6 linked regions of the Rattus norvegicus genome follow. The main gene of each other region encodes a partner of the protein of the gene in region 3 in a complex. Links are inferred from orthologs where the notes say so. Each region holds a gene or a part of one and is shown on either strand. Other genes may lie near its edges.

What was found.
Region 1: the proteins of Cul3 (region 3) and Kctd5 are in contact, whole or in part, in a cryo-EM structure (PDB 8U83), measured with the Homo sapiens proteins. The link is inferred for Rattus norvegicus from reciprocal best matches to the Homo sapiens genes CUL3 and KCTD5. Residues at the interface, in NP_003581.1 of Homo sapiens: Thr24, Met25, Asp26, Glu27, Lys28, Tyr29, Val30, Asn31, Ser32, Ile33, Trp34, Asp35, Leu36, Leu37, Asn39, Ala40, Glu43, Asn48, Ser50, Leu52, Ser53, Glu55, Glu56, Leu57, Arg59, Asn60, Ala61, Tyr62, Thr63, Met64; in NP_061865.1 of Homo sapiens: Trp45, Phe55, Leu56, Thr58, Thr61, Arg64, Asp65, Lys67, Ser68, Pro96, Thr97, Tyr98, Phe99, Gly100, Pro101, Leu103, Asn104, Tyr105, Leu106, Arg107, His108, Gly109, Lys110, Leu111, Val112, Ile113, Asn114, Lys115, Leu117, Val122.
Region 2: the proteins of Cul3 (region 3) and Klhl22 are in contact, whole or in part, in a cryo-EM structure (PDB 8K8T), measured with the Homo sapiens proteins. The link is inferred for Rattus norvegicus from reciprocal best matches to the Homo sapiens genes CUL3 and KLHL22. Residues at the interface, in NP_003581.1 of Homo sapiens: Thr14, Arg17, Ile18, Arg19, Ala20, Phe21, Pro22, Met23, Met25, Asn49, Ser50, Gly51, Leu52, Ser53, Phe54, Glu55, Tyr58, Tyr62, Leu66, Met118, Asp121, Ile122, Met124, Tyr125, Arg128, Val129, Gln133; in NP_116164.2 of Homo sapiens: Asp73, Tyr74, Arg76, Gly77, Met78, Gly81, Gly82, Leu83, Lys84, Glu85, Leu92, Ile93, His94, Leu117, Gln121, Val125, Cys128, Gln129, Gln131, Pro133, Trp146, Glu150, Asn151, Asp154, Val155, Arg157, Leu161, Phe162, Asp163, Ser165.
Region 4: Cul3 (region 3) and Kbtbd2 share a complex: the UniProt entries of both Homo sapiens proteins name them as parts of the BCR(KBTBD2) E3 ubiquitin ligase complex. The link is inferred for Rattus norvegicus from reciprocal best matches to the Homo sapiens genes CUL3 and KBTBD2.
Region 5: Cul3 (region 3) and Klhl42 share a complex: the UniProt entries of both Homo sapiens proteins name them as parts of the BCR(KLHL42) E3 ubiquitin ligase complex. The link is inferred for Rattus norvegicus from reciprocal best matches to the Homo sapiens genes CUL3 and KLHL42.
Region 6: Cul3 (region 3) and Klhl25 share a complex: the UniProt entries of both Homo sapiens proteins name them as parts of the BCR(KLHL25) E3 ubiquitin ligase complex. The link is inferred for Rattus norvegicus from reciprocal best matches to the Homo sapiens genes CUL3 and KLHL25.

What each region holds. Positions count from the first base shown.
Region 1 is NC_086028.1:13,606,963-13,611,135, forward strand, and holds the start of Kctd5 (BTB/POZ domain-containing protein KCTD5), read right to left. Parts: upstream 2,801-4,173; 5' UTR 2,785-2,800; coding exon 2,533-2,784; intron 1-2,532. UniProt on the Homo sapiens protein: Its interaction with CUL3 suggests that it may act as a substrate adapter in some E3 ligase complex. Does not affect the function of Kv channel Kv2.1/KCNB1, Kv1.2/KCNA2, Kv4.2/KCND2 and Kv3.4/KCNC4.
Region 2 is NC_086029.1:96,712,016-96,715,515, forward strand, and holds part of Klhl22 (kelch-like protein 22), read right to left. Parts: intron 3,485-3,500; coding exon 2,766-3,484; intron 1-2,765. UniProt on the Homo sapiens protein: Substrate-specific adapter of a BCR (BTB-CUL3-RBX1) E3 ubiquitin ligase complex required for chromosome alignment and localization of PLK1 at kinetochores.
Region 3 is NC_086027.1:89,042,958-89,045,427, forward strand, and holds part of Cul3 (cullin-3), read right to left. Parts: intron 2,343-2,470; coding exon 2,197-2,342; intron 186-2,196; coding exon 54-185; 3' UTR 1-53. UniProt on the Homo sapiens protein: Core component of multiple cullin-RING-based BCR (BTB-CUL3-RBX1) E3 ubiquitin-protein ligase complexes which mediate the ubiquitination and subsequent proteasomal degradation of target proteins.
Region 4 is NC_086022.1:87,377,600-87,381,640, reverse strand, and holds the start of Kbtbd2 (kelch repeat and BTB domain-containing protein 2), read left to right. Parts: upstream 1-1,241; 5' UTR 1,242-1,312; intron 1,313-1,352; exon of another isoform or gene 1,353-2,097; intron 2,098-4,041. UniProt on the Homo sapiens protein: Substrate-specific adapter of a BCR (BTB-CUL3-RBX1) E3 ubiquitin ligase complex that acts as a regulator of the insulin signaling pathway, modulating insulin sensitivity by limiting PIK3R1/p85alpha abundance in adipocytes.
Region 5 is NC_086022.1:181,733,732-181,738,031, reverse strand, and holds the start of Klhl42 (kelch-like protein 42), read right to left. Parts: upstream 2,801-4,300; 5' UTR 2,756-2,800; coding exon 1,920-2,755; intron 1-1,919. UniProt on the Homo sapiens protein: Substrate-specific adapter of a BCR (BTB-CUL3-RBX1) E3 ubiquitin-protein ligase complex required for mitotic progression and cytokinesis. The BCR(KLHL42) E3 ubiquitin ligase complex mediates the ubiquitination and subsequent degradation of KATNA1.
Region 6 is NC_086019.1:139,133,517-139,137,505, reverse strand, and holds the start of Klhl25 (kelch-like protein 25), read right to left. Parts: upstream 2,801-3,989; 5' UTR 2,710-2,800; exon of another isoform or gene 2,699-2,709; intron 1-2,698. UniProt on the Homo sapiens protein: Substrate-specific adapter of a BCR (BTB-CUL3-RBX1) E3 ubiquitin ligase complex involved in various processes, such as translation homeostasis and lipid synthesis.

The sequences.
Region 1 (4,173 bases), on a different chromosome or scaffold from region 3:
TTACATTATGTGTATGAGTATTTTAAATGCCCATGCGTTATGTGTAACATGTATGTGCCTGATGCCAAAGGGGTCAAAGGAGAGTGTCAGACTCCCCAGACCTGGAATCACAGATTGTTAAAAGCCACTATGAGAAGTTCTGAGAATCCAACCTGGGTCCTCTGTAAGAGCAAGTGTTCTTAACCAGTGAGCCAACTCTCTAGTTCCTAAAGAATAAACTTTTTTTTTGGGGGGGGGGTTCTTTTTTTCGGAGCTGGGGACCGAACCCAGGGCCTTGCGCTTCCTAGGCAAGCGCTCTACCACTGAGCTAAATCCCCAACCCCAATAATAAACTTTTAAAAGCAACTAAAATATATTCTGATAATCTTACATTGCAATAAAGAAAAAACGCATATCCACATAGACACACACACACATTTATTTATGTATGTGTGTGGGCACACAAGTACCATAACAAGCAACGAAAATTCACTGTACAATTTTTTTTTTTTTTGAGACAGTTTCTCTGTATAGCCCCAGCTATCTGGGAACTCACTCTGTATACCAGGCTGGCCTGGAACTCAGAAATCCGTCTGCCTCTACCTCCTGAGTGCTGGGATTAAAAGCAGTGCACTCCCACACCAGGCTTTTTGTATATGAATTTTTAATGACATATTTTATGTGCATTAGTGTTTTGCTTGCATATGTCAATATGGGTCTCGGATCCCCTGAAACTGGAGTTACGGTTGTGATGTGGGTGCTGAGTATAGAACCCAGGGTCTCTGGAAGAACAGCCGGTGTTTTCAACCACTGAGCCATCTCTCCAGCTATTTTGTTTTGTTTTGTTTTTTGAGTCAGTGTTTCTCTGTGTAACCTGGCTGTTTTGAAACTCCCTCTGTAGACCATGCTGGCCTCAAACTGATATATCTGCCTGCCTCTGCCTCCCAAGTGCTTGAATTAAAGGTATGCACGGCCACTGCTCAGCTCAGAATATAACTTTTCAGTCAAGTGTTTCTCCTTCCACCTTGTAGATCCTAGAGACTCTTAAGTTGTCAGGCTTGATTGGCAGCTTGTGCCATCTCACCAGCACAATAAAGGATAACTTATAAAATAATCTTAAAAGACAGTAAAATGAAGAGATATATTTGACTTGAACTGTGCAGAAGTCAAACAATTCTAGATCCATTGTTCCAGTGCTAAGTAGGCAAAAGACACCAGAAGCCAATGGCCAAGGCTGATTTAAAATTTAAAATCTGATTTAAGACAGAGATGCTTGAGTAGAAAGACAAGAATGATTATAAATGCCCACTGTTTGAAAAACCAACAGTAAAACATACAGCCTCAACTATAAAAAGAAAACACCAATGACCAAAGCCTATTTCTATCCTTCAGACTTCTGTCATCTTCTAGGAGGTCAATTCTCTACGAGTAAAGAGATTTGGTCAACTCAGAAATGGGAACAGCTGGGAGGAAGGATATGAGGGACTACCACAGTATATCTCAAACCCTAACTTCGTGATTATTTTGCAGTAACTCAAGAATTCTTATTTCCTGATCATAATGCCAGGCCTCACTGTGAAGGTGCTCTGTCAAGCTGTTTAAAGTGCAGTGGGCTCCAATCTTTCTCGAAAACCTCCTGAGTGGAAACTTTCAGGTGGCAAGGCACAAAATCAAGTGCCATCACGTAAACTGAACCAGAAAACTCAGTAAACTGTCTAGGAGGAAAGGGGAGAGAACGATTTTTCCCTATATTTCGGTCCTGCACAATACTTATTTCTCAGTTATGCAATATATCACACAACTTTTGTAATGATAATAATCGAAATACCTTCTATTACCACAGGTATAACAGTATTAGCGTTTAATTAAATTAAAACTAAACAAACCACAAACTAAGCTGGAAATTCCTACTCTTTTCAAAGGCAGTGGGGAAACAAAGTCTGAAAAGCAGATCGAAAAGGATTCTCTCTACCTGGTCTCTCTTTCACAATCCTAAGGTTTTTCTACACCTGGCCCCGAACATGAATTCAATACAAATAATTCATATATTAGAAGTAAACTGACACCCTTGAACATTTTTACTCAGGAGGTACCTTCTAAGAGCTGCGATGCCTGTTCTTATTATGGATGAGAAGGATGAAGCACAAACTCTGCAAGTCACTGGAAAAAGGGTAGCCACTGTGGCAACCCTTATGGCCTACGTTTATTTAAACGTCTGGAATGTGAAAAGACCAGATGAATGCAAAGGGCTCTCAGGTTCCAAAGCCAGCAAATAGTTGGGCGGTGGTAGTCACACACCCTGGGCAAAACAATCTAGGGAGAAGAAAGTAGGGACACAGCAAAGCTTGGGTCTTTCTCGACCGAAGAACATGAAAAGCAAGAGAAGCACTGTTAAACCTGAGGCAGGTGGGTACAAGAGTGCCATCCTTCCCCCGGCCCAGGACGCTAGGCTGAGTATGTCCGCTTCGCTGGGCGCCCTCAGTGTGGAGAGAGGTGTGTGCCGCGAGTGGCTACCAGGGCGGCCAGACCCCTGTTGACCCGCGAGGCCCTCACCTTGTCCGAATCTAGGTCGGGGTCCGCCTGGCACAAGCGGTACAGGAAAGACTTCGGGTCCCGGCACAGCGTCTGCCGGGTGGTGAGGAAGTAGGTGCCGCCGACGTTGAGACGGACCCACTTGGACACGCCACTGGGGCGCTGAGCCAGGGCGCCGATCCCAGCGCTGCAGCGGCGGCACAGGCCGCCCCCCAGCCCCGCCCCGAGGCCGCTCGGAGCCGGCGGTAGCAGCTCGCAGTGATTCTCCGCCATGATCCTAACAAGCCCCGCCACAGCGCCCCTTCGCCGGAAGCGTCCGTTCTTTAATACAGTCCCCCGAGTTGGCCCGCCCATAAGTACGCCCCAATAAAGTGCCCGCCCAGGTCTCATGTGCAAGACGGAAGTTCCGGCTCGAAAAGCAGACCGGAGATTACAGCTTCCGGCTGGAGCAAGCCTCGGGTTCTCACGGGCATCCTAAGCTCAAGACCCGCCCCCACCCAAAGAGAATCCAGGACAGAAGAAAGTGTACACTCTACATGCTTTTATTACAAGACTACCGAGCATACGAGGGAAATCCATCATCCGGTAATTACATCTAAAGCACAGATATTTGAAAAAAAAAGAAGTTGTTTCATTAAATTATATGATTAAACCATGACCAAATAGAAAATTTATATAATAAAGCCAGGAAAAAAGTTGTAAAATATAGTTTACAATAATTATTCACATTCAAGGCTGTACATCAATACATACAACGTGGCCCCAAACATGAATTCAATCCAAATAATTCATATATTAGAATTTAAATAATACAGACTGAACTAGAGGCCGACAATAGCCAGCAAATAACCTTATATAAGAATAAAAATACAAAAGTGTATATCCTAGTATCATTGCATTATCTGTTTTCATAAGTATTTTTAATTTTTCCTTTGCCTGTACATCACAGTTACAGCTACAGACCAGGTAGAGAATATTACATATGTTCTAACTGACTGCCACCAACCTGAATGACAGCAATAGACTATTGATTCATCCTACTGTACGTGGCTAGGGAATAGCCGCAGCAGCTCTAAATACTGTAACAGTTTTTGATTTGTGCCATGTTCAATCACACTATGGTCATAATGGAGGCTTTCGCCTGCACAGTGACCCACTTGCAGTCACTAACCCAGATGATTAAACTAGGGTGGACTACATGAGGAGGGGAAATTTTGCCATTTGTAAAAATTTCTGTAGAGTTTGGATTCTTCATATGGAAGAAATGAATTACAGGGAATTTTCAGGTATGCATATTGGCTAGTTCATTTGCTTACCGCTGCAAACGTGCTTGAAAGAGCTTCCTTCCAAGGCCATTGTTCCACATTCTAACCTACAACCCTCAAGTGTTAGGCCAGAAGCCACTTATCTTCAGAGGTTCTGAGAGTCGTCCTAGCCCTGTCAAATCTGTCAGGACCCTTATCATACACTCTGCCTAAGAGGCGCTACACCCATTGGCATCACCATCAGTTTATGTTGGGTTTTGCATTAAAACAAGTGGAAAAAGTGTATGGCAGCATCTTTGCCATACTCAATAGTTGCTATGGCCTCCCAAGTCTCAGCTATGAACACCCTGGGTCTATGGAACAGTGGGGAGAAGCCTTGAGGCAGAGAAGGGCAGAA
Region 2 (3,500 bases), on a different chromosome or scaffold from region 3:
TGTGGGAGGACCCAGCTCATTGTGCATGCGGTTGCCCCTGGACTGGTTGTCCTGGCTTCTGTAACTCAGGCTGAGAAAACCATAGAAGGCAAGCTAGTAAGCAGCAATGCTCCAAGGCCTCTAAATCACTTCCTGCCTCAAGGTTCCTGCTCGGTTGGAATTCCTTCGTTCACTGCTTTTGATGATGAACTGTGATATGGAAATGTGAGTGAATTAAACCCTGTCTTCCCCAATGTGTTTTTGTATATGGTGTTTCATCACGGCAATAGTAACCATAAGATAAACCTGATCCTCAAAGTGACCGTTTGGGGAGGTACTCTAGACCTGCTTGGATCACTGGAAAACACACCCAAGAGATAGTGAAACCTATTACAGCTGCACATACCTCTCTTATTGTAGCACCAGGGAAGTGGAGGCAGAGCACTGCTCCAAGTTCAAAGCCAACCTGGTCTATAGAGTTCTGGGCCAGCCAGGAATGCAAAATAAGAACACCCTACCACCCTCTTGGTGTAAGCCTGCCTGTCCTAGAACTCACTCTGTAGATCAGGCTGGCCTCAAACTCTGAGCTCTACCTGCCATTGCCTCCTGAATGCCAGGATTAAAGGAGGACACCACTACTACCCCACTTTCTTTCTCTCTCTCTCTCTCTCTCTCTCTCTCTCTCTCTCTCTCTCTCTCTCTCTCTCTCTCTCTCTCTCTTACCCTGTCTTTAAACAACACTGTGTAACTCTGCTCTCCCTCCTGTTTCCTGGACCACAATGTGACTATAGGTTCAGTGCTCCCTCCGCTGCCATCTACCCTCACATAGGAACATAGGACAAACCAGAGGGTATACTGCATAAATTGCATGGTCTTGGTTGGACTTTAAACTTCTCAAAGTATGCAGTAAATAAATGTTTTCTATTTATCAACTAGTTACTTTAGATATTTCATAGTAGTGATATGAGGCCAAAACACTTTGTATATATGAATTCAAAGAAAGAAAATAAAAGAACTAGTGGAAACAAAGGCAAATCAATTTGCTTCACAGGACCATTTCTTACAGGTTCAACATCAGAGTTCTAGAACATATTTGCTAAGCAGTATGTCCTCAGATTGCAATACTCTATCTACTATAAAATAATGTTTTCTTACATTCTAAGAGCTTATAGATTTTAAATCTGGTAAACTATGAATACAGAAAAGAAACAAACTCAGAAAAATCTATTTTAGGGATTCAGCCACTTCCCAGCAATCGGGAGGTGAAGACAGAATGGCCATGGATTTTAAGATCATCCTCACTACTCAGCTAGTGAGTTTGACCAAAAACAAAAACAAAAACACACAGTGCTGGGGTGGAATCAGGGCCTTACTTACTCAAGCTAGGGAAACATTAAACACTGAGCCGTAACCCTAGCTTTGTAAGGCTTGAGATGACTAGGAAGTAAATGAAGTTTTCATTTGGCAGAGATGACAGACACCCTAGTCAGCTGGCACGCAGGGCCTGGTCCTTGCCACAGCAACCTTGTAAATTCCTGTTCCTTTGATCCCACCTGCCATGCTCCAACTTCAGCTCCCAGCTGTCAGTGCTTTGGAGAGGTCTGCTTTGTAGCTCTGAATAGCTAAGGCAGGGCAGTCTGAACCTAATCCCACAGCTAGAGGCAGAGCCCTGCAAGAAAGAAGCTTGCAGGCTTGACCTGAGGGAACGCAAATTCATCCATGTTCACTGAAGACAGGATTCAGTTAGAAGGGAAGTGAGTCATTTCCTTCTTTCTGAACTCTGCAATCCCAACCATCTAACCGTTATGTATTATAGGTAGGTTTAAGTCTCATCAGTTTACCGAAGATGACTGCTTCCTAGGGCCAAGAGAACAGAAATGACCAAGAAATGCCTGCTTTCTTCTTGGTCAGTGTCACTGTGCTTTCTTGATTCATGTGGCAGGGCCAGAGCAGAATCCAGCCTTACCCTTACAGCCAAAAACACAGCTTGCATGTCAAAGTGAATTACATCGGCACTCAGCTCAGAGCTGCTCTCTAAAAACATCATCTTAGCTTGTAGTAGGCACCGGGGATGGCAGGGGTTCCCACATACACCAAGGTATAATGAAGAGAAAAGGCCCCTTAAAATCCATTGGTAGCTGGAGACTTAAACTAATGTCTCTTGTTCTGTCCAAAGAAATGGATCTCTGGGACCACAGCTAGAAGCAACCTGCAGATCAAATCAGTTCACAAAACTCCCTCAAGAAAAACTGCCTCCTCCCAGAGTATTTATTGAGTACATACTCATCCGACTACAGGCCCACGGGGAACTTAGTGAAGGCTCAATGATGCTTACTGGTCCTTCCCACTCTCTGTACTCAGATGTGGGCTCCAGCAGGCAGCATCTGAGAGACATCCTGGCTGGCAATATGGAGAAAAAGAGCAGAGACGTTGAAAAAAGGACACTGAAGAGGCAGACTGAAGATGGCAGGAGCCACTGCCCCAGCCCCTTACTGAATAAGGCATGCTCCCTGAGCACAGGCAGCCAGTGACCTTCTGCAGACAGCAAGGATAGGTGGCTGTGCTTCAGGGTGACTGAGTTTCTGGACAGCAGGTCAGGGGGCGAGAAAGCAATCTGAGCCCTTTTCCTTATTTCACTGTGGTCCACTTTGTCTGGATTCATCTGGACTCCATTACATGACACAGGGATAGCCCAGAAAAGCTGTTAACACTCATGTAAAACCCACAACTCCCGCACCTGGAGCTGCCTAAGGATAAAGGCAATGATGACAAGTGCCCTTTCATACCTCCAGCATCGGGACTCAGCTCGGAATCCTTGGACATTATTGTCCCCTCCAATTAAGTACACGAAGTTGTTGAGCACTGCAATGCCCTGGTTGGACATTCGGGGCGCTAGAGAGGCAGTGAAGTGTTTCCACTCTCCCAGAAGGGGATTCAGGTACTTGGCCTGGTCACTGAGGATTGTAGATGGTGTGGAGTGAATGCCCCCAAAGCCCACAACACACTGGAAGTCTGAGCGAAGCTCTGTGTGTGGGCCCTGAAGGCTGGGCTGCAGGCTCTCATTCCGGTGGTACATAAGGGCACTGGCCACTGTGTCCCTCAGTGGGCTAGGACCAAGCTTGTCGTGCAGCCGCTGGAGGACCTCAGCTTCCATCAGGGGAAAACGCACAGTCTCTAGGAGCTTGGGGGGTTCATGCAGTGAGATCTGGTCAGCCTGCACCTGTTCCATGGAGTAATGGTAGAGCAGGGCCCCTTCATACACTTCAGTCTCACAGGAAACCTCCAGGCGATTGCTGCTGAGGAGAGAGTAGACCTTCTCCAAGGGAAGCTGGCGGTACTTGTCAGTTCTTGAGAAGGCCACAAAGTTTTTGAGGATGTAGGTATCTAGCTGTTGGGTCAGACGGTTCAAGTCAAAGAGCTCTGCCAGCCGGTAAACATCAAGGATGTTCTCCTCATCGACCCATGACATGAGGAAATCACAGCAAAAGTGGATAATTTCTGGTATCTGTAAAAAGAAGGAT
Region 3 (2,470 bases):
CCAGTCCATGCGAAGAGTACAGTCCAAGAATAAATCAAATTTCTGAATGCATTTTATGCTACGTATGTGTATACTTTGCGATCCTCAGGTGTTCGTGCCAAATATTCTCTCTCAATAAGTCCTTCAATACGTTTCTTAATAACAACTGGACTTGGTAAGAATCGAGCCTTCAGTTGCTGAGTTACCTAAAAAGAAAAGGTAAAGTCTAAATTTAACTAAAACACTTCCACATAAACAAACAAAAATCCCCATCTTCTACTAGAGCGGACATGCCACTTTAAAGCTAAAAAATTTAGTGACTGTACACCTAAATTTTTTAAATTTTTTAAAGTACCAGGCATGGTGCCTTATACCTATAATCTTAAGCACTTGGGAATGTGAAGCCTCAACATAACAGATAAAAGAACTGGACAGGAAAAAGTACCAAATATTAAAGCTTTTACTTGAAAATTTACTGGATGTTTAGAGCACACTTCCATGTGTCAAAATATGGATGCTAATGAGGATTAGTTAGAGTTCAGCATTCTGAATACATACCAGCATATAATTTAATCATTTCGATGATATTATTAACTTCTGGGTTACCTTCCCAGTTCATAGAACCTAGTAGTGTTTACAAGCAAAGGCTCTGGATCCAGACTGCTTGGGTTTAAATTCCTGATTATCTCAGTCCAGCTAGGGTTTCAGAGATGAGTTGACAGATAACAATCCTTTACAGCAATGGCATGGCACCCAATACTAAGAGAAACTTCTGGCATTCTTTACTCCAGCTGCAGTCAGATCTTAAGTATGTTGCTACCAGTAATATGTTCAACTGTAGCAGCCAGTCTGTTAACATAATATTTATATATATCTACACACACACACACACACACACACACACACACACACACACACACACAAACACTTTCACAATTTTAACTGCAATGTAGTCTGTTTCATTTTATAAAGGAAATTAAAAGTTGGTAATGACAATCAGTAGCAGAACCAGAGAGAGTCCAAACCTCTTTGTCCTCAAAGCTCACACTCATTTCAATAATCCACCCTGACTCATTAGCCAGATTTTCTTTTACTCTTGTTGATCAAAGCTTTTTTCCAACATGCAATTATTGGAAATTCTTTGACATGTGAAATTTTAGCACCCAACTGTACAACTACAATATATCATCCTTCCACAATTTCCATTCTAGTATCAAAACCCTTGTTCTTGGCAGGTTTCTTTTCCAACCTTACCCTCTCTGCATTTTCACAGTGCATTTACCCAACCCACTTATTAAAAAAATAACAACAACAAAAATCTTGCAACCACCCACTTGAAATTGCCAATCCTTAACTCTATCTTATAGACTGTGAATAGACAGACTTTACACTTATTCTTCTTCCTTACAGAGTCTAAATTGCAATCAACCTTCAAAAGTACCTCCAACTCTCAGTTTAAACTTCATAATCACCCATTAGCCTGTTAGAGCCAGAGTGCTGACTCTGGAAGTGCTGATTCATTAAGTCTGGGTGGACCAATGACCTCTATTTCTAAGACTCATGACATTAGTACAGCTTCTTTAAAACCAGTTTTCAAGGGTTCTTCTCAGTGTCATTCATTAAGCACTCTCATTGCTCCAGAATATGGAACTGTAGGGCTTTTTCTTGCAATTTTTTTCTGTTGTTTTTTTCCCATGGTACTCCCGAACAATTTAACATGGACTCAGTTCTGACTATATTTCCATACAATGTGAGCTCCCAATTCAACATCTGGACTTCTCACTTTTTAACCAACTTTCAGTGCCACAATTGACTCCTACCCAGGCATATGCCAGCACACAATAAAAATCAACCATGCAAACCATTATTAATTAAGATATGGACCACTCTGTAGTTAAGGGGCTCAACTTCTGTCTACTTACTCAAGTGAGGAACTCAGGAGGCTAAAGTCATCCTCCTTATTTGCCATCATTGGTTAATGAACTGCCAGCTCTACCTCTCAAGTCTTAACTAGGTTAATGGTCCCTTCATGGGTATTGGCTTCCTAACTTATGAAAAGCTCTTAAAAAAATGGTGACTGTTACTAATGTTCAGAAACACAGGTGATTTGTTTATAAAAGCATACTGATATGCAGGTGTTTATGCACAGGATCTTGTTCTTGGTGAGCAGTGCTGTGTGACAATGACGTTGTTGACCCAGGCTTCCGGTGTCCTTACCTCTGCTACTAAAACATTGTGCTGCATCTTCTTCCTAGACTTCATTATCCGCACTATAGCAGCTTCTATCTCGTGTTTTCTGTCATCATCTACTTTCTGTCTTGTTTCTTTCCTTTCTGGGTCAGATTCACCTTGTTTGGCTGCAACTAAAATAGGAATAAGACCATTTATCAGATTTAGCTAATAATAAATGTAATTTAGTATTATTAAGAGAAAAAAAATCTCAATTAGAATATGCACACAAGTAAACAAACAATAACAAATATTCATGCTC
Region 4 (4,041 bases), on a different chromosome or scaffold from region 3:
TGAATTTACAGAAATCTGCCTACCTGACTCTGCCATGCTGAAATTAAAGGACTGTGCCACTATGTCCAGATTAAACTTTGTATAATTTATCGTTATAGGGGTGACTTATGACTCCCATATACACACAGTCAAGATGCGACAAAGCAGCCGCATAATTACAAGTTCCTTGGGCTCAGTGCTAGGTGTTCATAATGACCTTGGTCAACTAGATTTTCTTTGCATTATTATTACAGGGAAACAAAAATGGAGTGGATAGATACATTGTATATGAGCACAGCTAACTATATTTTATATGAGCACGCTTAACTATATTTTCTTTGTATCATTACAAGAAAGCAAAATGGGATGGATAGATACATTATACACGACCGCAGTCAACTAGATTTTCTTTGTATCCTTAGAAGGAAGCAAAATAGATACATTGTCTGTAATGCATTCTGAGGGCCCGTTAAGCCCCTCTACCAAACTCGTACTTTTAAATGGTCTCATGTCGTTCATACGCTCCTCTTAAACTTTGAACTCAATCTGGAATTCCTGAGATATCCTTTCTCCAGCCTCCTGCCAGCTGGGATTAGAGGCGTCTGCCACTTTACCTGCTTTTTGTCTTGTAGCCACCCCTATTCTCGAGACTGGACATGGAAGTTAGGAAGTAGACAATTCTGAACGTTTTTTGGTTTTGTTGTAACACGTATCTTCAAGCAAATCTATAATTTTTTTGCTTGCTAACAAGACACGGCAAGTTATAAATAACAGGCATAGACCACAAGCACTTGCTGCTTCAAGGCTCTGCTTTGAAATCTGGGGAATGGAGGGGACAACTGCAGCTACAAGCGCCGCTGAATAGAACTTTCCGAACTGCTTTTTCCAGGCCACGCCTGAGGCTGGGTGGCCCCACGACCCCGCTCCACGCACGCGCCCTAGCTGCCGGGCGGTAGCCCGGGAAGCCCCAACACAGACGCCGGCGTCACCTCGCACCGCCTCCGCCCTTCCTGCTTTCCGTTTCCTTCCCGCGCCTGCGCGGCTCCGATTGTTTTGGCTTTCCGGTGGGGCAAAGGAAAAGGGCGCGGTGAGCCAGATGAAGGCGGGGTCCAGGCGCGGACATCTGGGAACCGGCAGAGCCGCTGCTGGAGCGGGCCAGGGCGCGGGCGCGGGCCGCAGGCCGTGACGGCCCAGCCCAGGAGGCGCGAGGAAGCGGAAGCGGGGGCGGAAGCGAGCGGCCCGGATCCCCGCAGCGACACGCCCCCGCTGTGCGTGCGGCCGCGTGAGTGCAGCCCGGCGGAGCGGCGCGGTGAGCTGGGCGGCCGGGGCCGAGGTGAGCCCGGTCGGACGCGAGGTGGGCGGCCTTTGTGGGCCGGGGCGGCGGCGGCTTTCAAACTCCGGCGCTTCCGCCGAGCGCGCGGTGTTTCCGGCGGGGCCTTGCGCGGGCCGCGGGGCTCGGGGCGGCGTCCTTCCGAGGCAGAGCTGTTTTGCCCCGCTCGTGTCGCGGCAGCTGAAGACCGGCGACCGCGTCCTTGCCTTTTTTTTTTTCTTTCTTTCTTTTTCTTGGCACATCGGCAGTAACTAAGAGTTAGCCAGGTTAGCCGGGGTTCTGTTGTCCTCGGCCTGCGTGTGCTCTACTGTGGGAAGGGGAAGCTGCCCTTTGAAACCTGTTTGTTTTAGAGGGAAATCGTGGGTTTGAACTGGACTCATCTTCTCCTGCTAAATCAGAAGACCGTTGAATAGACTGTTCGCTGCCGTAGTGCAGTTGTTTTGAGTTAACGTGTGCTCTCCCCCACTTCCCGCCCCATCAAACTCCTGGCCTACTAGTTTTAAGATTTCTTTTTATAGCTACTTAAAGGAAAGGAAATACGTATTCTCCGGGCTGCAGCTCTCTAGAATTTCCTTGGTGGCCCCTCGTAAGTTAAGCAAGAAACTAAGATAGTAAACTTGATAGACTTTGCTTTGTGAACAGCTATATCAGCTTTGTAAAAGACTGGGGAAAAGACAGTGCTGGTCACGTGTTGTTTATACATGAATCTGTAAGTCTGGCTCAATGAGCAGACACTAAAGAACAGTCCTATCAGGAGAATGCTCTGACTGGAATTATATTTTCTTCCTGTGAGTTAATACATTTTACTTATCTTCTTTTCTTTTGCGTTGTGAATTGTTCCCCAAATTTGAGTAATATAGACCATGTCGGCCTTTGGGTAAAGCTCTTATTTGTAACCTAAGGTCTATTTGAAAAGTCAAGTCAGTTGTTTTTCCCAGTCTCTGTGATGTGAAGTGTTGTTGCTCTTTTTGTCTGTCTGATAACGTTATGCCTTTCTGCTTTGCTCTTTTGTTAGTTAAGCGCTTTTTCAGGTTCTTTTAGATCAGGGCCAGAAATCTTAGAGGGTATAATTCTTGGCAACTATGGCTTTTCCGTTGAGCATACTTTGTATGTAGTCCGTGTGTTTCCACGCTGTTATTTCCTCTATTCAGATAAGTACTGTAATTATTCTCCCTTTTATTTCCATAAGCGCAGTACTGTAAAATGTTAACTTTTCACTTAAGGAGATGACAGAAATAAAAGGAGTCATGGTAATTAATTAGTGAGGCCACTGTAGAGTTTTCTTTTTAGCTAGCAGAAATAATGAGAATTTCTTAGTTTCTATGCTTTGAATATTGAATGTGTTTTAGATGTTTGTTAAATTCCTAGAAACCTGAGGTGTGTCTTGAGGTATACTGTATTAATAGTGTAACCCAGGCTTGCCTTAAAATCCTGCATCAACCTGGAGTTGCAGACTAGTACTAGCATACCATGCCCTATTGAATACAGTCTTGAAAGCCAAAAGATACCTGGTTTTCCACAGATTTGCATGCGATTTAGTAAACTGTTGACCACCCCCCACCCACCCCTTCTCAGCCATATTCCTAAGACAGTTGGGGCTGAGAAAATGATGAGTTTTGCTGTCCTGAAACGCGTCTTGTTATCCACCAGTCTTGCCCTGTTTTTCAGAGTTTGAATAAAGCAGATACATATGGAACTTGAGTAGTTAAGAGCGTTAGTCAGGTTGGTCTCAAGCACTTAGGTGTAGGAAGGAAGGTGTTCTTGATGTTTTGGGACGATTGGAGTCCCTAGATCCTTTTATGGGAAGGAGAGGTGGTCATGGGATAGTGAAGACAATGAAGTGTAACAGGACCATCTTTCTTTACTCCACTCATATAAATGACAGTGGTGACTCGTAGTGCCTTTCATTGCAAGCAGGGGCTTCCAAGAACTTTACCTTTATGGTTCACTTATTTTTGTTACACTGGGGATGCTAAGCAAACACCCTACTTTTATTACTGAGCAATAGCCCCAGCCCTTGTTTGTTTTTTAAGTGACAGGATCTTGCTGGGTAACCTAAGGTTGGCCTGAGCTACCAGGATGCATTTCCTCCCCTGCCCGCTTTTGGAGAAAGGGCACACTCAGCATCAAGTTTTGAGTTCTATATTTCTGTAAGGAAACACATTTTAGTATTAATTAATTAGTAGTAATTAATGTTAAGGGGCTCTACCCCTTATACTCTATATAAGAATGTGAGTATCCAAGATGATACTTGCATAACTTGGGGTATCAGGAATGGCAAGTTGATTTAAACAATGTTGTTACAAAGTTACAAAAACAGTTCTTGGTTCTCTTGTCAGTAATTGTTTTCTGTTGTACTTGGAGGAACTGACCCAAGAAAACAGTGTTAATGGAAAATTTTGGGTCAGTTTTGTATCAGCCAGGCCCCGCCCCTTCTTGAGACTGAGTAAAATGGAGAGGTAAAGGAGTGATAATTCAAAATGGCATCCTGAGCTCAATGATTCTGTCATAGGCCCTGGGTAACTTACTGACCATACTGTAGTGTAAGAGCTTGTCCTTATGCTTCAGTTTACATAAGTACGCATCAATAACCTGTCTGAGCTGGGAATAAAGGAACATGTAGGAACAGACCTGAGCTCCAAGGTTTATTAGAGGAGGGAAAATTACTGATGTCAGATTTGCCATATTTTAAAAGCAAACAAACAAAAACCCCAGCCATTCTCAAAACCCTT
Region 5 (4,300 bases), on a different chromosome or scaffold from region 3:
CTCTGGAAGGGAGCATTCAGCTCTGCCTCTCACACTTCAGCTTGCCAGGATTTTTAGGATTTATTTTATGTCTATTTGTGTGCCAGTGTATGTAAGTGCCTGTAAAGACTGTCAAGGGGTGTCAGATACGGATGCTGAGCACAGAACAGCAAGCGCTCTTAACCTCTGAGCCATCAGAACAAGGTATGTTTCTGCAAATAATCTCTGACCTAAAGGTCCCTTTTTCCTGTTATGGACCTGGAAGAGACCACAGTGGGTCTTGGATGGCATCAGGGGGCCTGGTAAAAAGTACCTAGCCTCAGCTGGGTGGCAGCGGCACACAATTTTAATCCCAGCACTTGGAAGGCAGAAGCAAGACGATCTCTGAGTTCAAGGCCAGCCTGATCTACAGAGTGAGAATCAGGACAGCCAGGACTATGAAGACAAACTATGCCTCCAAGATAAAAAGAAAGAAAAAGAAAGAAAGAAAGAAAGAAAGAAAGAAAGAAAGAAAGAAAGAAAGAAAGAAAGAAAGAAAGAAAGAAAGAAAGAAAGAAGAAAGGAAGGAAGGAAGGAAGGAAGGAAGGAAGGAAGGAAGGAAGGAAGAAAGGAAGGAAAAGAAAGAAGGGGAGGGAGAGAGGGGTAAGGGGAGGGAAGTGGGGAGAGAAGAGTGTGTCTGTCCTGTGTGGTTACTCTTTCCACTTCTAGGACACTGGCATCCAATGTGAGATCTGAGCCTTCCTAATTGCTAGACTAGCGTTCTCCCACTGAGACACCTTTCCCCTACTCTTTCTGGTTTTGCTACATTATCCAGGCTGGCCTGGAATTCACTCTGAAGCCCAGAAAGAATTTTAACTTGGGATCTGTCTGCTTCAGCCTTCCAAGCAGCTGGGGCAACAGGCCCACTCTACAAGCCCTGACCTCTCCTCCAGGCCACTTGGGACTGCGGCCTTTACTCCCTTCCTCTTCCTGGTGTCTTCTTTCCCAGCTCTTCCTTTATTTGCTTCTCTATATTGCTTTCATTCTCTCTTTTCCTTACTTCGAAGGATGGGAAAGATGGGTGAGGTGGAAAGGAACACATCTTCTAACAGTAAGAGGGAGAAATTGAACAGTACACACTGGTTTTTGTCATTCCCTCACCAATGCCATCTGACAACCATTGACGTGGTAAATGTGTTACATTCGAAGTCATAAGTAACAGCTCTCTGAAGGCTGGATGGCAGAGGATGGCAGGTCTGCAAGACCAGCCTGAGGAGCATACGAAAATAAAGGAAAACCACCTGAACATATGCAGGAGGTTGTATATACATACGCTCTATGCTAATGTATATATGTATAGGTGTATGTGTACATGTAGGGTTTATATGTATATGCTAATGCTACAGTCACAAAGGACTCAGGCACCCAGACTGGGGTGTCTGAGGCCTCCCAGGTAGACAACAGACGCAGAGAGACAAGGGCACACCCATTCTGTAGCTGACCGCTCCAGGCTCAAGTTTTGGGTCAAAGATGATTGCTGTCTTAGGAGGTAATAAGAAACAAATGAAGAGAGAATGAAAAGAAAAGAGAATGCTCTATGGCGATCCCTTACATCGTCCTAGGGAGAGTGGATGCACTCTCTCCTACCCAAGTGAGAAGGATCTAAAGTCGCCATCAGCAACAACAAGCTAGAGTTACCAGTTACTGCTAGTGCCTCCGTAATTCTCAATAGCCTTCTCTGCAAGCTCTTCTGAGGCAGAAAAACTTCTTACCTGGGGCCTGCACATGTAAGAAGACCACTAGGCTAGCTGATACACGGCTTGTCTTCTTGGCAAGCCCTGGGCTCACTGGGAACTCCACCAGAGGTGGAGCACTTAGCAGCACTAAGTGAGATGCCATCCATCGCCTCTGGCCAGGGCAATGAATGAAGGGTGCAGAACCCCCCACCCCCTTGCACTTACCGCTTCTGGTTCATGGAAGCCACCTGCAGCCACTCGTTGGTGGTGGGATTGTAGGAGTGTGCGGCCGAGATCTCCTGGCTGGTGATCCTGTAACCACCCACGATGAAGAGGTAGTTGTCCAAGATGGCTGAGCCGTAGCCCCTGACGTTCACCAGGTCGGGGGGCAGGTTGTTGGCCAGGGGGAACCAGCGCTCTGTGGTCTCCTCATACCTAAGCATGGACGGGGGTTCCCCCTGATACGGGTGCGGAGCCAGGGGTCCCCCGAGGAAGTCCCCCAGGGCCACCAGGACCGGGGTCCCGCGCATGCGGGCCTCCCGCAACCTCTGCTTCAGGCTGCAGTCCCCGGGGGCCTGAGGCGGCGACAGCAGTAGCGGGAATTGCGGCTGGCACAGCACCTGGTGGAAGCGCAGCACCATGAAGCGCAGGCAGGCGTCCTGCAGGTCGGGCAGCCCGTACACCTGCGCCAGGCGGTACAGCTCCAGGCAGTTGCCCAGACGCACATGCGACAGCAGCAAGCGCAGCAGCGCCGTGACCTGCAGAAAGGACGCGGCCTCCACCATCTCGGCCAGCACGCTGGCCTCGGCCAACTCGTCCTCGCTCAGGCCCCAGCCCTCGCGCGCGCCGCCCGCGTTGATGAAGTCCAGCACCAGCCGCAGGCCCGGAGCGCTCAGGCCGCGCAGCTGCTGCACCTCCGGACCCACCTCGGGCCGCACGGCCTCGCGCATGCCGGAGCGGTAGAGAGCGCGGAAGTAGTCGCTCTGTTCGATCAATTTGCTCTTGCTCACCGGGTAGCAGCGGTCTTCCAGGCGGATCTGCACCATCTCCTCGGCCGACATGGCTGGGCCGCTGCGCCCGCCGCCCGGCTGCTCAGGCTCCTCCCCCGGGCGCACAGCCTCCGCGGAGCCCGGCCTGCGCTAGCGCTTCCTTCCTTCCGCCGCTCGGGGCCCTGGGCTCAGCCCCGCCGGTGCGTCACGCGCCCTCGAAGTAAACGGCCTCTCTGAGTCTATAATCCTTGTGTCTGTGTGGGTTCGTACGCGTGAATGCAGGTGCCGGGAAGCCGAAGGCGGCAGATCACCTTGCAGCCTGAGGTAAAGACGGTTGTAAGCTGCCCTACGCGGAAGCCGAGTCCTCCTGTCCTCCGCAGCAGCAGTATGCACTCTTAACCACTGTCAAGCAATGTTAGGATACAAACAAACGTGTCGGTTCGCGGTGCTCTCCCCCTGCGCAAAAGTCATTGTACTTGATCTTCTGGTGTTTCCCGCAGCCCCACAGTCCCTGCCTGTGTGAGTTTTCCTAGGCCAGTCAGTACTGAGAGATTTTGCACCTGCAGTGTGATTCAAAGGTGCAATAACGGATTTCTGGGGCTAACGAATTTGTTAGAAGAGTTATCAACTCCATGGACAGGACAGACAGTCTTGCAGTGACTACCGGTCCTGCAGACAGACAGGAAGGCAGGCAGTGGCTTGGAGGGGGCTCCAGAGAGAGTTCAGACCCCAGCACCAGAGATGGCAGCAAAAGGGGCAAGTGGATGGAGATGATTGTCCCCTCTGGGTAGCACTTTCCCATTCTCATCCCAACCTACCCCCATCCCTGCCATAGCTGTTGGGAAAGGACATTTTTCCTGTGTTCCTTTGCGGGACACTTGGTTGGAAGGCTGGATTCCAAGGTCTGTAGTGAAGCATGGTGTCTGCCCCATGATGTCCCAGCTTGCATTCCTCAGTATTACTATATCTGTCGGCTGCTTCACCAAGAGGGGGCTGTAAGTCATTATAGTCTGCAGAATACACGCAAGGGTAAGGAGCTACGAAGTACAGAGAACATCCTATCAGGATTCTGCCTTCCTATGGGAAAGAGACACAACACACGGACCTGGGGTTTGCTATACTTCGTTACTTTCTTGGACACTCTGAAAAACTCAGGACACTAACTGCCCTGTGATTGACAGGCCTGGAATCGTTCTTGGCAGGTTTCTGTTCCCCATCCGTCACTCTTGGTGTTTGGGGTATGAGGAGGGTTTCAGGTGAGAGGCAAGGATCTAGTAGACTACAGCAAGGCAACGTGCCACGGCTACCATTAGACATTGGTCTGGGGGCTTCTGGGAAGGCCGACTTCAAAGAGGCTGGACCAGGCTCTGTCTGAGCCTCCATCAGCAACAAGGCAGGATTCAGTGAGTCACCAGAAGAACAGGCTCTTAGTCTCTGGCTCTTTAGAATCTTTACCAATGGAAGTTTTGTTTGCAGACCAGAGACACGCCTTCAACTGGTATTCTCTTGCCTTTTAAAACAAACCAGAAAGCCAACCTTTGAGAATGATTCTCATTAGAGAGGCAATTCAACCAGGGTCACATTACCACAGTGAGGTCAGCTGGACTGGAATCTGAA
Region 6 (3,989 bases), on a different chromosome or scaffold from region 3:
GACCAGAGACTGAGCTCCTTCCACTCACCCTGTGCTGAAGGGACTTGAGGGGGAGCCCTGCCAACCTCAAAGTCCCTTCCTGTCCCTTCAGTTTCTGCTCCCGTGTCCTAACAAGCCCCAGAGACACCTGGCAAGGCAGGCGGCAGTTGTCAGCTTCAGATGCCTTTAGAACTGGTCCCAGCAGAGGGTTCACGGGGCACGGTTGCAGACAAGGAGAAAAGCCTGCAGTGGCAGCCAGAGAGCAGCAGACTCATCACAAGTCCTGCTGGGATGTGGTTTCTGGGAGCTGTGGATGCTCAAGTTCTGCCTCTGCCTGGCCATCCTCACAGGGCTGCAAGTGTTTCCAGGCCTGGAAAAGGATTCACTGGCAGATCAGCAAGGCAATTCAATTATGAAATTTACCACATTAGCTGACTTACTACATTAGCATTTCAATTGGCCAATTCATTTGTGGCCCACCACTGTTGGCTTGTGCCAACTCTCTCTAGAAGGGGGTGTGTGTGTGTGTGTGTGTCTGTCTATCTGTGTCTGTGTGTGTCTGTGTCTGTGTGTGTCTGTGGCCCTGCACCTGGTGAGCAGGAGCCCCTCAGAAGTTGCACGGGAAGCCAGGTCCTCAAATGAACCTGCACAGCTGCCCACAGTGTCACACTGTCACAGCCAAGGATGAATCTTTTGGTCAGCTCCCATCTGCCTTTTCCCTGTAATCACCTGTGCCTAAAGCGAGCATCCTAGAGCTGGCCCTGGAAGAGATTGGACAGATGGCTAGAAAACCGGCTGCAGCCAGGGCAGAGAATGGAGGCTCGGTGGGCCTGTGTGCCAGCTTTCCTTCTCTCTCCAGGAAACCTTCACCCTTCTCTCCAGCTCCCTGCTTCCCTGCTCACCGGGGCTCTGCAAACCTATGAGCCAGGGCCCCCAATCCATGAGCCAGCACCCACTTCTCTGTAAAAGCAGGGTCTCAGTAAGGTCTGCTCAAATGATAAATCTGACTAAAACTACCTCTGTATCACATGCTCACTGTTCCAGGCCACTCTCCTCCCTCTCAGTGACAGGAAAGATGCAATCAATCATTGCACATCACACATGGGGACATTTTTTCCTCCTACTTTTCTTTCCCCACACTGGTGTCACAGACTTAGGATGCCATCAACAGGAAACCGAGCCACTGTAGAACATGCAACTTGCACGCAGACCTTGTACTGCATGGTACAGGGAACCCAGCTCCAGTTTGATGCCCATGACAAAGGTTTCATCCGTCCATCCTCCATAATTCCTTTAAAAACCTCCCTGGACTCACTGGCTGACAAATGACTCAACTGAAATATCAATAACTACAGGGCCTGGGACAAAAGTGACTTTGCCGGTCTCCACAGACAAAGCCTGTGACCTCAAGAACCCTGTCTTAGAGGGACCAAGCCTACTTGCTGTAGGATAAGAGCACCATAGGGCCTCCCTCCTCTGTCCCCAGACACAAGCTTTCAGCAACACCCATAAAAAGTACTCCCAGCATAACTGTGCCGCTTATGAAAGGTTCAGCACACTAGAGGGTCAGATGCCAAGTCCCCCTCCCTCCCTGTCCTACTCCAAGACAGGGTGAATAGCCCAGACAATTGGCATACCTTATCCTGCCTCATCAGGGAGGGAGAACTAGTGCCCAACAAGCCTTGGCCAAAGCAACTTGGCCTTTGGTCTCCCCAAAGTACAGTTGAACTACAAAGGCCCCTGTAGTCCACCCCTCCCCCCAGCTTCCTGTGCTTGAGTCTCTAGAAATTCTCTGGGATTGGTACGGTGGCATTTGCTTATAAACCCAGCTCTCAGGAGGCTGGGACCAGAGGATTTCACGCTCAAGACTGGCTGACTTCATAGCAAGACTAAAAACGGGAAAAAAAAAAAAGGAAAAAAAAGAAACCTAAAGACTGTGAGAATCCACTTTGAGGTCCTTGAAGCACTTGCACCCAAGTGTCTGGTACCCCAGTAGGCACCATTCCCGAATAGGAAAAAGAAGCTTCTAATACAACTATGAGACCAGTCAAGTGGGGATTTGCAGACCACAGCGGAATTCTCGCGCCAGGGCAACGCATGGAAGGAGGGTTGAGGGGAGGGGGAGCGGCCGGGGAGCGGATGAGTTGCTACAGCCCTGCCAGATGGGCCACCACCTGGGTGGGTAAGGGCGTATGGCTCCGGGAGTGTCACCACTCCCCTTGACAGACAACTTCCCAGACAGGAAGGATCCTATGCAGCGGGCCACACGGCCAGGCCCTGCTGTCTACTCTTCCCTGGTTTAACCCCTCCGCCCTGGCTAGGCAAAGGAAAGCTCTGGGACCCTGGCTAGGTGCGAGCGCAAAGCAGCACGGTTCGAATCCTCGAAGACAAGCAGCTTCCTCTTTCTAGGATCAATAGTAATTTTTTTTAAAAAGATAATCAGCGGACTCAATGAATCAAACACTCCCGAGGGAGGGTAGCCTCTCCAGCGCGTAACATCCGTTTGGAAAACAATTCATTCCCTTGGCGGGAGCTCTGAACATAACAGTACGGGGTCCCCAAGCTCGACCGAGGGGCGCTCCCGGGTCAACACCCACTTCCCCCACCCAGTGAACCGGGCCTTCGGTCCCACGCCCTGCCTGGCGATCCTCCCGCAGGGTCGCTCGCTGTCCCGGTGACAATTCCCGACGACGGCGCCCCCTGTCGACTCGGTCCCGACCTGGTCCTCACCGTGGGGCCCCACAGGCTCCGCAGTCCCCGCCGCTGCCGCCGTCCCCGGCCGGCTCTCCAGTCCCGGCCGCGATCCCGTAGCCGAACCGCACCGGCGCCGCCAACAAACTAGTTTCTCCGGCCTTCCCGCCCCGCCTCGCGGCCCGAAACCCAACAACCAATCATAGACCGTGTCTCTGTGACGGATGGGCCGACTAACCTGTAATACAGCCGTGTGAGAAGAAAGGGACGGTCGTCCAGGCCACCGGTGCCGCGGGAGGCGGGGCGGAGAGAGGAAAGCGACTGCCACCAGATTCTTAAAGGGACAGACTATTGCCTTTCTGCTCTGGTGGCCAGAGTTGGGAGAAAGCAACACGACCTATTCTAGAGCTTTCCTTAAGGAAGATCCTTGTAGATGACACATACTTCTTTCAGTACAAAAGATTTCTTTCTGATTTCTTTCCGAATCATAGCCATTGTTGATCTTTTTACAAACCTGCAATGTAATCGTCCCTGTGTTAAGGAAATCCTTTTTTACTCCCCGGTGGATGTGGGGGAATTTCTACAGATGTGAATCCCTGTCTAGACTGAGAATCCATGTATTTCAGGGGAGAGGACTTTAAGCTTCAGTTCTGTCAAGTCGACGGAAATTTCTTCCTAAACTTTTTTTTTTAATACCCTTCAAATATTCTTCACTCCAGAGGTACAAAACTGATAGAGTAAACCCTTATCTACACATATATACATATACATATACACATACATACATTCAACACACATATAGAATTTATTTGAGTGACTTTCAGGCTGTGGCTGGGTAGTTCAACAATGGCTATTTGCAGACATAACGTCCATGAATCTAATTGTCAGTCCATGAGGCCAGATGCTTCCGCTGATCTTCAGTATACCTTGGAACCCACAAGTTGGCTATAAGACAGTGAAAGAATAAACCTACCTGTGAGAGTTAAGGGCAGGCAAAAAGCAAAACTTTCCTTCTTCCAGGTCCTTTATGTAGTCTGCCATTAGAAGGTGTAGCCCAGATTTAGGGTGGGTCTTCCTACCTCAAATTCCTCACGGTGTACTCAGCTGCTTGGGTTGTAGCTAGTCCAGATAAAATCAAGTTGACAACCAAGAATAGACATCACCCTTTCCCAATGCATCCATTAGTTCATTTAAGAATTACTAGACCTGGACAGTGGGGGCACACTCCTTTAACCCCAGCACTCAAGACAGAGGAAGGTCAATCTAATTTTCAGACCAGCCTGATCTATAGAGTTGATCCCAGGACAGTCAGGGCTACA